3 linked regions of the Rattus norvegicus genome follow. The protein of the gene in region 3 purifies or fractionates together with the protein of the main gene of each other region. This does not show direct contact. Links are inferred from orthologs where the notes say so. Each region holds a gene or a part of one and is shown on either strand. Other genes may lie near its edges. The genes, in order: Ago1, Phlpp1 and Fkbp5.

What was found.
Region 1: the proteins of Fkbp5 (region 3) and Ago1 purify together in Homo sapiens (affinity purification with mass spectrometry; 6 studies listed by BioGRID and IntAct, with this or other methods). This does not show direct contact. The link is inferred for Rattus norvegicus from reciprocal best matches to the Homo sapiens genes FKBP5 and AGO1.
Region 2: the proteins of Fkbp5 (region 3) and Phlpp1 purify together in Homo sapiens (affinity purification with mass spectrometry; 4 studies listed by BioGRID and IntAct, with this or other methods). This does not show direct contact. The link is inferred for Rattus norvegicus from reciprocal best matches to the Homo sapiens genes FKBP5 and PHLPP1.

What each region holds. Positions count from the first base shown.
Region 1 is NC_086023.1:144,031,613-144,035,259, reverse strand, and holds part of Ago1 (protein argonaute-1), read left to right. Parts: intron 1-263; coding exon 264-384; intron 385-773; coding exon 774-955; intron 956-1,264; exon of another isoform or gene 1,265-1,287; coding exon of another isoform or gene 1,288-1,346; coding exon 1,347-1,483; intron 1,484-1,702; coding exon 1,703-1,837; intron 1,838-1,971; coding exon 1,972-2,059; intron 2,060-2,676; coding exon 2,677-2,824; intron 2,825-3,647.
Region 2 is NC_086031.1:22,821,897-22,825,643, forward strand, and holds the start of Phlpp1 (PH domain leucine-rich repeat protein phosphatase 1), read left to right. Parts: upstream 1-1,235; 5' UTR 1,236-1,484; coding exon 1,485-2,949; intron 2,950-3,747. UniProt on the Homo sapiens protein: Protein phosphatase involved in regulation of Akt and PKC signaling.
Region 3 is NC_086038.1:6,463,513-6,467,159, reverse strand, and holds part of Fkbp5 (peptidyl-prolyl cis-trans isomerase FKBP5), read left to right. Parts: intron 1-2,073; coding exon 2,074-2,259; intron 2,260-3,647. UniProt on the Homo sapiens protein: Immunophilin protein with PPIase and co-chaperone activities. Component of unligated steroid receptors heterocomplexes through interaction with heat-shock protein 90 (HSP90).

The sequences.
Region 1 (3,647 bases), on a different chromosome or scaffold from region 3:
AGGTCTGTGGAGGTCTCATGATCTGAGGACCAACAGTATTACTGTAGGATTTTGGAAGTGTGGGTTCTAAGTGTGGGTTCAAATCAGAAGATGACTTTAATGAAACCTGATGATTCATAGGAATGTTGGAAGCTTGAGGTGTATTGCCACGGAGTAGACCTTAAACATGAGTGTGGTACACGGGATGTTGCCTCAATTTTGAGCTGTTTCCAAAAGCCAGAGTGACAGCCTCAGCTTCCACGTGCCACGTCTGTGCTTTGCAGGGAGGTGGTGGAGTACATGGTCCAGCATTTCAAACCGCAGATCTTTGGGGATCGCAAGCCTGTGTACGATGGAAAGAAGAACATTTACACAGTTACAGCACTGCCTATTGGCAATGAGAGGGTAAGGCCAGGGCTGAGGCTAGCCCTATAAGCCCAGGGAGGCCCACCTAGTGATCCAGAGATCCTTTTATTTTGTGCTGAAAAGTATATTTTGGGGCCATAATGAATCAGGGTAGACACTTAGTGTACTGTGTGCCTGTCCCCAATAATGAAATTAGATTAGACTTCAAAAAAAAAAAGACTCAAAGGATTTCCTTCTAGATTAAGGGGGCCAGAAGCACTGCAGCATCATCTGTGGAAATCAGGGTGTGGGTCTTTATTCGGGGGTTTTCAGTGTGAGCCCCTGTTGGCTTGGCTTTGGCAGATTGTGGAGTGGGAGACAGTGAGTAGGACAGGAAGACTAATCTGTAGAAATGTGATCGTCACCCTTTTCTTCTTCCCATCTTGAAGGTTGACTTTGAGGTGACCATCCCTGGGGAAGGGAAGGATAGAATTTTTAAGGTCTCCATCAAGTGGCTAGCCATCGTGAGCTGGCGCATGCTGCATGAAGCCTTGGTCAGTGGCCAGATCCCTGTGCCCTTGGAGTCCGTGCAAGCCCTGGATGTGGCCATGAGGCATCTGGCATCTATGAGGTACTGAGTATAGTTATTATCTAAGCTACGAGTGTTGGTAAAACTGCTGTTGGGGGAGGAGGGAGTGAGTGTGTCTTAAGGTCCCTCAGGGAAAAAAAAGAACTGAAGGCCTACCATGCATGTGTGAGGCAAGTATATATACACATGTTTAGATGGTTAGACCCCCGGCCCCATCCTTAGATACCATTTTGGCCTCACTCCATCTATCCCTACAGGGCAGAGAGAAAGGTAGAAACTTAAACAAGGTCAGTCTTAACTATTGGCCCAAGAACAGAGCTGGCATTAAAGCCCTGGTGTCCTGCCTTCCAGGCCAGGGCTCCTCCGTGCCCAGGATGCCTCACAGGGTGGGGGCCTGTGCCCGAGGGACCAGTTCTCTGCCTGTCCCTGCCAGGTACACCCCTGTGGGCCGCTCCTTCTTCTCACCGCCTGAGGGCTACTACCACCCGCTGGGGGGTGGGCGCGAGGTCTGGTTCGGCTTTCACCAGTCTGTGCGCCCTGCCATGTGGAAGATGATGCTCAACATTGATGGTGAGTGGGGAGAGCTATGGAGCCAGGGGCACCCTAAATCCAGTGACCACACTCCCAGCCTCATCCCTCCCAGCTCTGCAACCACAGTCTAATTCCTGTAGCCCTGGCGCCCTGTCCCTGTCCCGGTGCCCTGCAAAGAGGAGAGTACAAATCATAATGCCTCCACTTATTCTTTCCTGAAAGTGTCTGAGCCAAGCTGTCCCTCCCCTGTCCCTACAGTCTCAGCCACTGCCTTCTACAAAGCACAGCCAGTGATTGAGTTCATGTGTGAGGTCCTGGACATCAGGAACATAGATGAACAGCCCAAGCCCCTCACGGATTCCCAGCGCGTTCGGTTTACCAAGGAGATAAAGGGTGAGGACCCACCACCCAAACGGGGAAGAGAAAGCGCCACTTTCTCTAACCCTAAGAGGGAATCCCTCTGGGGAAGGCCAGTGAGGGAACTGAGCAGTCTGTTCCCACCTTAACAAGCAGTGTGTGTCTCTCAGGCCTGAAGGTGGAAGTGACCCACTGTGGACAGATGAAGAGGAAATACCGCGTGTGTAATGTTACCCGTCGCCCTGCTAGCCATCAGACGTAAGTCGGCAGCACCGCTACGCAGGGTCAACCTAGCGCACGGCTAAGCTGTCTGACCCACTTAACGTCTGTGTTGTCAGAATAAGACTTTTCTAGTCTATCTCTGAAGATAAACATCCTTTCCTCGACCTCCCCAGATCATGTCTCTCCATGACTTTTTTTTTCTTTTTTTTTTTTTTTCTCGGAGCTGGGGACCGAACCCAGGGCCTTGTGCTTGCTAGGCAAGCGCTCTACCACTGAGCTAAATCCCCAACCCCTTTTCCCTTCTTAATCTCTTAGTTTCTTCCTTGGACCTTTACTGTAAAACACGAGTGAGTGGTCCACCGACTACTGTTGGGTCTGTCCTGATGAAATACTGTGGTCCCCTTTCTTCATCCCAGGCTATGCTGGACTCTTACCTTTAGTAGGCATCCACTCGGGCTTTAGAAGTACAGAGGAGGGAGATGGGTTGGCCTTTTGGAACGGCTCTGTCATCTTCAGGCTTTCCAGTGAAGCCTTGTAGCAATTGCCTTTCTGAGAGCAGCCACGATGAGAGGCCTGAGGCGGTCTTTGGTTGTGGCTGTGGAGAGGTGGGGTTGACACTGAATTATGATGCTTCCTTCCCTTCCTCCAAACAGGTTTCCCTTGCAGCTGGAGAGCGGACAGACCGTGGAGTGCACCGTGGCACAATATTTCAAGCAGAAATACAACCTTCAGCTCAAGTATCCTCACCTGCCCTGCCTGCAAGTTGGGCAAGAGCAGAAGCATACCTATTTGCCCCTCGAGGTAAGGCTGCCTGCCAGAGAGTACGGCTTGGCCGACACTGGTCCTGGACGTCTCTTGAGCCGGTCACAGTCTCCTTTCCTCATTTTCAAGTTTGAGAAGTTGATGTTCTAGAAAGCTTTAAGGTTGTTTTTGTATGAAGTCTAGACTTCCTACTGGCTAAATTCTGTTCTTTTTTTTTTTTTTTTTTGGTTCTTTTTTTTGGAGCTGGGGACCGAACCCAGGGCCTTGCGCTTCCTAGGCAAGCGCTCTACCACTGAGCTAAATCCCCAACCCCTAAATTCTGTTCTTATCCCTGCCTTTATTTTTATCTTCTTCCAGGACTCCTAGGCAAAAGGGCAAGCTGTGTTTGTTTGTTTGTTTGTTTGTTTGTTTGTTTGTTTGTGTGAGTGGTTGGCTGGCTGACTGACTGGCTGGCTGGCTGGCTGACTGACTGGCTGACTGGCTGGCTGGCTAGCTGGCTAGCTGGCTGGCTGGCTGGCTGGCTTACTGGTTGGTTGAGACATGTCTCCAGCCCAGGCTGGCCTTGAACTCACATTTAGACAGGGATAACATTGAACTTCTGATCCTCCTGTCTCCTTCCAGGGTTAGAGATTGTAGGCATACACTACCACGTGCATTTATGGGGTATTGGGGATTGAACCCAAAGTTTTATGTATGCTAGGCAAGCCCTTTGCCAACTGAGCTACATCCCCAGCCTTATTATATAGTATTGGGGTTTTTTGCACATGGTCAGGGCAGAGATTTCAGATACTCACATACATGCTATCTCTTAATTTCTCTTTCCTGCGGTCTGCAGTTAGGGATAATGAGTAACCTGAGAATT
Region 2 (3,747 bases), on a different chromosome or scaffold from region 3:
AAACCAAGCTGCCTTGATAGGAATTTCAGTTCTCTCTCTCCTACCAAAGTTTTCTAAAATTAAGGCAGGCTCTGGATAGTATGTAACCCAAAGCCTCGAAAGTGAGTATCTACCTATGTAAAGCTACTATGAGGGTGGCAACTCAATGCACGACGTTTATCAAATATTTCAAATAGTTAATTGCCTCAAACCAGCTTGTTTCAACCAATAAAAAGTAAGTTTATAGATCATACATTGCAACAGTAAGAACTCACACAACATAGTTAAAGCCTAGGTGGTGAGCAGTTTGAGGAAGTATGGAGATCAGACTATACCGAGAAACCTTGTCTCATTCACCCTCTACCCAGCCCCGAGTGTGGAAAGAAAAATCCTGAAAGGACTAAGAGAAAGCAAGTCCCACAATGTCTCCATTCTAATATTTCTCCCTTCGTCTACTGTTTTCTGTTATGTAAGCTTTTACCAACAGGATACAAGGCCCCAAGTCCTTAGCTATTTCTGTCCTAATATGGGAGGGAGTAGATGGGCTTAATTTGAGTGCTTTACAGGAAGCACGTTCAACTATCTTCTAAAGAAGAATTTCCAAACACTGCTAGTTTTCATGGACCATGAAAAAAGTGCGGAAAAAGGAAGACCGGGCCAGCGATCCTGTGAACTGTGTATTTTTGTCTCATTCAAAGGCCTTACCTAGAGTTTAGAGTCCCTGAAAGCTCTCAATCTCAATTAGCCAGGAAAATAAAACTCATCTGGCAAACGGTAGAGAAGCGAGTTAATGAAAAACGTTCACAGGACACAGAGTTCAACAGCAGAGGGCACAATACCCACTAGCTAGGGCCAGAAGCTGGAAGAGAGGGAGGGCAGAATCTGACGATATCTGGGTCTTGTAGTTCGCTATTGGTCTCCATTGGAGGCTCGCCCAGGAGATGAACTACAACCCCCACTGTGCAACGCGAGCCCCTCTCGCCAGCTCTCGTCTATGGCGAGGACAAACCTCCTGGGAAACAGTTCTGCCCCACCCCCATACGCACGCGTCACGTTTGTTTACCCTGAGGCCCCGCCCCCAGCCTCCCGCTCTCCCCAGAAATGTCGTCATGCTAACGATGCATATTCATGAGCAACTCCGCCCCGCCACCGCCCGCCTTCCCGCGCTTCATTAATATTCATGAGTGAGGTCGGGCCGCAGCTCCGGGGAGCTCAGGCTGACGGGCAGCGGGCGGGGCCTGGCGCTGGGGAGCCCCGGACCAGCGGGGAGGGTGTGTGTGGGGGGGGCGGTGGCGGCGAAACGGGCGGGCGGCGCGCGGGATGGAACACCGAGACACCGACGGAATGCTCCGGATCGCCACATAATCCTCTGGAACAGCCGCGCCGAACGCCATCGGCGTCTCCGTTCTCCGCGCGCCGCTGCCGCCGCCGTCTCCCACCTTCGCCTCACCTCCTCCTCCTCCGCTGCCTCCGGAGCTGGGGGGGCGACGTGAAACCCCGCTACGATGGAGCCCGCCGCCGCAGCCCCGGCACAGCGACTCGCGGACCCCACGGGTGAGGACCGAGCCCCGGCGGCGGCGGCGGCGGCCGAGGGCGGACGGAGTCCGGATTCTGTGCTGAGCGCGGCGGCCCCGAGCGGCGGGAACGGCGGCGCGGCGCGAGAGGAGGCCCCCTGCGAGGCGCCGCCGGGGCCGCTGCCCGGCCGCGCGGGAGGCACCGGACGCAGGCGTCGGCGCGGGGTGCCCCAGCCCGCGGCCGGCGGGGCCGCCCCGGTGACCGCGGCCGGCGGCGGCGCCAACTCGCTGCTGCTGAGGAGAGGGCGGCTGAAGAGGAATCTGTCGGCCGCCGCTTCGTCGTCCTCATCGCCGTCCTCGGCGTCTTCGGCCGCTGGCGGCCTCCCGGCGTCCTGCTCGGCCTCGGCGTCGCTGTGCACCCGGAGTCTGGACAGGAAGACGCTGCTCCAGAAGCACCGGCAGCTGCTTCAGCTGCAGCCGTCGGACCGGGACTGGGTGAGGCACCAGCTCCAGCGGGGCTGTGTGCACGTCTTTGACCGCCACATGGCCTCGTCCTACCTGCGCCCAGTGCTCTGCACGCTGGACACCACAGCCGCCGAGGTGGCCGCCCGGCTTCTGCAGCTGGGCCACAAAGGCGGCGGGGTGGTGAAGGTGCTGGGCCACGGGCCACCTCCGGCCGCTGCCCCGGCCGCCAGCGATCAGACCCCGGCCACAGAGCTCGGAAGAGACGTGGAGCCACCGCCCTCGAGCAGCACGGTCGGTGCTGTCCGGGGCCCTGCGCGCGCGCCTCCTGCCGATCTGCCGCTGCCCGGGGGCGCCTGGACGCGCTGTGCACCTCGGGTCAACCCTGCGCCCTCGGACTCCAGCCCCGGAGAGCTGTTCGCGGGCGGCCCCTGTTCCCCGTCCCGCGCCCCGCGCCCGGCCTCCGACACCGAGAGCTTCAGCCTGAGCCCCAGCGCCGAGAGCGTGTCAGACCGGCTGGACCCCTATAGCAGCGGCGGCGGCTCCTCCTCTTCGTCCGAGGAACTAGAAGCTGACCCGGCCACGGTCTTGACGGGGCCTTCCGGGCCGCCCCACCACCCAGTCCGCTCCTCACAGCCTCGACCGCCTTCCCCGAAGACCTCGGCGTTACTGCAGCCGAAAGCCCCGACGGGCGTAGACGGCACTGGCCTAGTGGTGGGCGAAGGTCCCGGAGACGACAAGGCGGTGGCAGCTGCAGCTCCAGGCGTTCCTCTGTGGACTCCAGGGAGGATCCGGGAGACCGTGCAAAAGACGTCTTCTCCGCCCTCCCTGTATGTACAGCTCCATGGGGAGACTACCCGGCGCCTGGAGGCGGACGAGAAGCCATTGCAGATCCAAAATGACTACCTCTTCCAACTGGGATTTGGGGAGCTGTGGAGGGTGCAGGAGGAAGGCATGGATTCGGAGATTGGCTGCCTCATCCGATTCTATGCAGGTAAGGAAGTTGCATGCATGTTTCTGTATAGCGGCTTCGAACCCTGGCCCGGACCGATAAATGATTCGAGGGGCCTGGTGAGTCTGGCAGTCTTTTCTAGCTGGTTCACATGCTGTTTGTGCAAGTACTAAATTCAGTATTCTTTAAATCTGCACTTTTTAGTGTCCAGGTCTGAGGTTGGAAAGCCGGGTGGACGAGGTGGCAAAGTCACCTGGAAATACAGGAAACACCTAAGAGGGGTACGGGTCCTTAACTGTAAAGGTGGTTTCCTCCAGGCCTCTGCTCTCGTTGGGTTGCAGGCGGTTTGGGATTCCAGGTAACACATTAATATAGACAGAGGACAATGACCAACGGAAAGTGTTCCATGATGCCTTCCCTATTCAGCTGTCCACAGTTTACCATTCATAGACAAGGCAGTGTGTGTGGGCCTCTGGGGCTGTGCTCTTGTCAACTGATGCTCCTGTTCCACCGTCTGCCACGCTTCTTTGCTCACTGAGTTCTTGTAGACACCCGAGAAGTGTGTGTGTATGTTTGTTGTTTTGAGTGTTGCTCACCTTCGGCGTTTTTAATTACTTTATTTCACTTTCCAAGTTTGAATCTTGCATAAAAGATGAGTTGGCCTGCTTCTGTCTTGCAGCCTTTATTGTCAGAACTGCGACAGGACTTGAAACAGACTAGACTTAGTAATGTCGGTGATTACTGCCTCTGATGTGACCTGAACTCTAGCAGTATTTTAGTATCTGTTCAAGTGCTTGTCCAGGGGTGACCAGTCAGTTTCTCCCTTGCCTGGAGTCTTGG
Region 3 (3,647 bases):
TGCTATGAGCCCTGAATGGGCATCTGGAAATCGGCCTGTGGCGTTCTTGTCACTGAGATCACTCGCCTGGGTCGCTGGAAGTGTTACAGGGGCAATGTGTATGTTTCAGCATGCTTCCAATCTTCCTAAAATGACCAATCTGGGTAAAATCTGGATCATCCGTCATCACACATATGGAACGCATTATTTTTAACATGTAATTCGATAGACAAGCTCTTTCAAAACATCAGTCTGTTGGGGAAAAAAATTAATGAAAGGTTCAAAACCACTGACCTAAGGCTTAGCCCAGAACTTTGTGTCCCACTGAGCACTTCCTGGAGGCACCTTCCTCATCCTAGGTGAGGGGCCTCATGCCAGCTTCAGAGGGGGAGGGCTGTCGTCGGTCCACGTTCCGTCTCCCTTCAAAGCTTGAGACGCCTTTCTTTTGTTGCACTGCTCTGTCCAGCGTCATCTTCCCAGGGTGTCTGATGTGACATTTGCCACATGCAGAGTGCGGGTGACTGCAGAGCCGCCTGGGCTCCAGCTCTGTATGTCTGCGCTCTTCATTCCCCTGCCTGTCTGGCTTCCAGCTGTGGGCAGAGGGACTGAGCGGGCAGAGGGACTGAGCGAGGTCCTTTCCACCTCTGAACGCTCTGCAGTGCAGGAGAGCACTGTCCCCATCCAGTTCTGAGAGTCAAGCACTGGTAGCGGTGTCACCACACACCACAAGGCTAGGGCCGCTCTGCTGTGTGCGGACATCTTGCGCCCCCTAGTGCTCCTTGGGAAGGAAGTGTGGCTGAGCTGGCTGGTTGGTTTTGAGGGCTGGAGAATTGTGGGGAGAGCTCTGCAGTGTCCTGGCCTCCCATCCTGAGTGCACTCAGGTCTGGCTGCCCTTATGCCATCCTGTCTGTCCTCAGGCTGGTAATCTGCTGCAGAGAAGAGCCCTCACCTCTACCCCGGTTTTCTCTGGGCTCACAAGTTGCCACCCACCATGCAGTGGTCACTGGAGCGGCAAGCACACTGTCTCCACACAGCTTGTTGTTCAGGGCGAGCGCCATGTGCACTATTCAGTTGTTCACCGCTGTCAGAACTCACTAATCAGCAGGAGCATGTGTGGAGTCTGGTTACTCTGAAACAGCAGTTCACAGGGGTCACGTATCCGATACCCTGCACATCAGGTATTTACACTATGATTCATAGCACTAGCAAGATTACAGTTATGAGGTGGCAACAAAAATAATTTAGGGGTCACCACAACATGAAAAACTGTATTAAAGGGTCGCAACATTTGGTGGGTTGGGAACCACTGCCCTGGATGCTGAGGAGACAGGAAGACGGACCATAAGTTTGGCACTAGACTTCACAGTGTAGCAAGGCCTTTTCTGCATGAAATAAAGGCCTGGAGAGAGCGATGGCAGGTATCGTGCTTGCTTAGTGTGCATGAGGGAGGCCTTGGTGCAGCAGAGGAGGCTGGTGGAACAGAGAAAGGTAGAACAGTTCCTCACACATCGAGTTTGCTCTCCAAGGTTGTGTGCACTGTGTGCTACCAACAGCCTATGTGTGTTCCCACTGCCATGGGTCAACACAGGGTGCTCTGGCCCCACCCACCTTTGATAACATGGTGCCAGGGGACAGCCCAGCTCTGAAGTCTGCCTATGCTGACTGCTGCTCTCCACGGCTCCTGGGAGCCGAGCACTTGCACAGCCTGCTTTAGACAGCCCAGGCCTGCGGTGTGGGGATGCCAGCTACCATAGTCCAGTGTTTACTGTCAGTGCTGCGATGGGGACGCCACCCATCGCACCAAGTCACCTCCTGTCTGATAAGCCAAACAGCTCACCATCCTTTGGAAGACTGAGGAATGTTGGCTCCCCGGCGCAACCTCCTGCTGTCAGGCTGAAAGAATGCCTGCTCTGCTGTTAACCTGGTCCAGGCCACCTCACAGGCCAGCAGGGCTTCCCCAGAACTAAGGAGAGGCAGGAGACAGAATGGGGCTGGTGTGCAGGCCTCTTCATGTGAGGACCCGGCTGAGGCAGGCCACACTCACATCAGTGGATCCTCTCCACAGTGATACAAGCCACTCTTTTTTTCTCCTAGGGAGGCAAGTACATGCAGGCCGTGATTCAGTACGGGAAGATAGTGTCCTGGCTGGAGATGGAGTACGGCTTGTCAGAAAAGGAGTCCAAAGCTTCGGAGTCCTTCCTGCTCGCAGCCTTCCTCAACCTGGCCATGTGCTACCTGAAGCTCAGAGAGTACACCAAAGCTGTCGAGTGCTGTGACAAGGTGGGTGGGCACCTCCGTCCATGTGCCACCTCTGCTCCCATCAGGTTCTTTATGGTCAGCATGAACCAGGACACCCTAGAGGATGGGGCTTTCTTTTTTTTTTTTTTTTTTTTTTTTTCTTTTCTTTTCTTTTCTTTTTTTCGGAGCTGGGGACCAAACCCAGGGCCTTGCGCTTGCTAGGATGGGGCTTTCTGTGGCTACCTTTGTCTTGCACTTTATACAAAACTGCTCACAGTGTTGATAACAGTCTTCATCGGTGGCCCTCTTTACCCAGGTTCTGGGTCTAAGAGTAGACAGGGAGAGAGCGCTGGGGATTGAACCCAGGGCATTGTGCATGCTAGGCAAACACTACCACTGGGCCACACAGCCTCCCCCCAGTGACACACTTCCTCCAACAAGCCACACTTCCTGATCCCTAGTCCTTCTAATTCTTTGAAACAGTTCCATTCCCTGGTGATGAAGTGTTCAGATATATAAGCCTGTTGGCCATCCTTATTCAAAGAACCACAGGGATCAATGCCATGGTCTTGGTATTTAGGAGGCAAAGACAGAAAAGTGAGAGTTCAAGGCTGCCCTGGGATAACAGGTTCTGTCTCAGAACAGTACTGTGAAGATAGCTCACTGGAAAGGCACGTGCTACCCAGCCTGATGACTTTGATTCCTAGGACCTACGTGGGAAAGAGAAGAACTCTGGCCTCTTCCACACTCCTACACAAGTGCATGACAAGTGGAATAACATTCGTACAGTACATGTGCAGACACCAACGTAATAATATGTATTTTTTTAAAGATTTATTGATTTATTTTATGTATATGAAAACACTGTAGCTGTCCACCAAAAGAGGGCATCAGATCCCATTACAGATGGTTGTGAGCCACCATGTGGGTGCTGGGAATTAAACTCAGGACCTGTGGCCAGTGTTCTTAACCACTGAGCCATCTCTCTAGCCCAGTAGTACATTTTTTAAGAACAACAAAAAATAAATGTGAAATGGCAAAAAAGACATTTTATATGTTGTAAGACCTCAAAAGAAAATAGAGAGTAAAAGAAAAAACACCTGTCCTCTGGTGTGTGTGTGTGTGTGTGTGTGTGTGTGTGTGTGTGTGTACACATACACAGATACATCAGATGCATGCACACACTTATATAATACACAACCCCAGAATGCAAAGTACTATAAGAACTAACTAGAGAAAGGTGGGACATAGTTACCATGTAGAACCAGGACTCTTTCCACATCAGTTGAGTATGTTCTGTGGCTCTCCCTCACTGTGCTTGGTGTAAAAAGACTCAACCCCTTAAGGACCATTCTGTGAATCGTGGGGATTTACTTCACTGACCCTCACAGGAAGAGTGTCCATGTCTGTTTTTATTATAAGGTTCATAA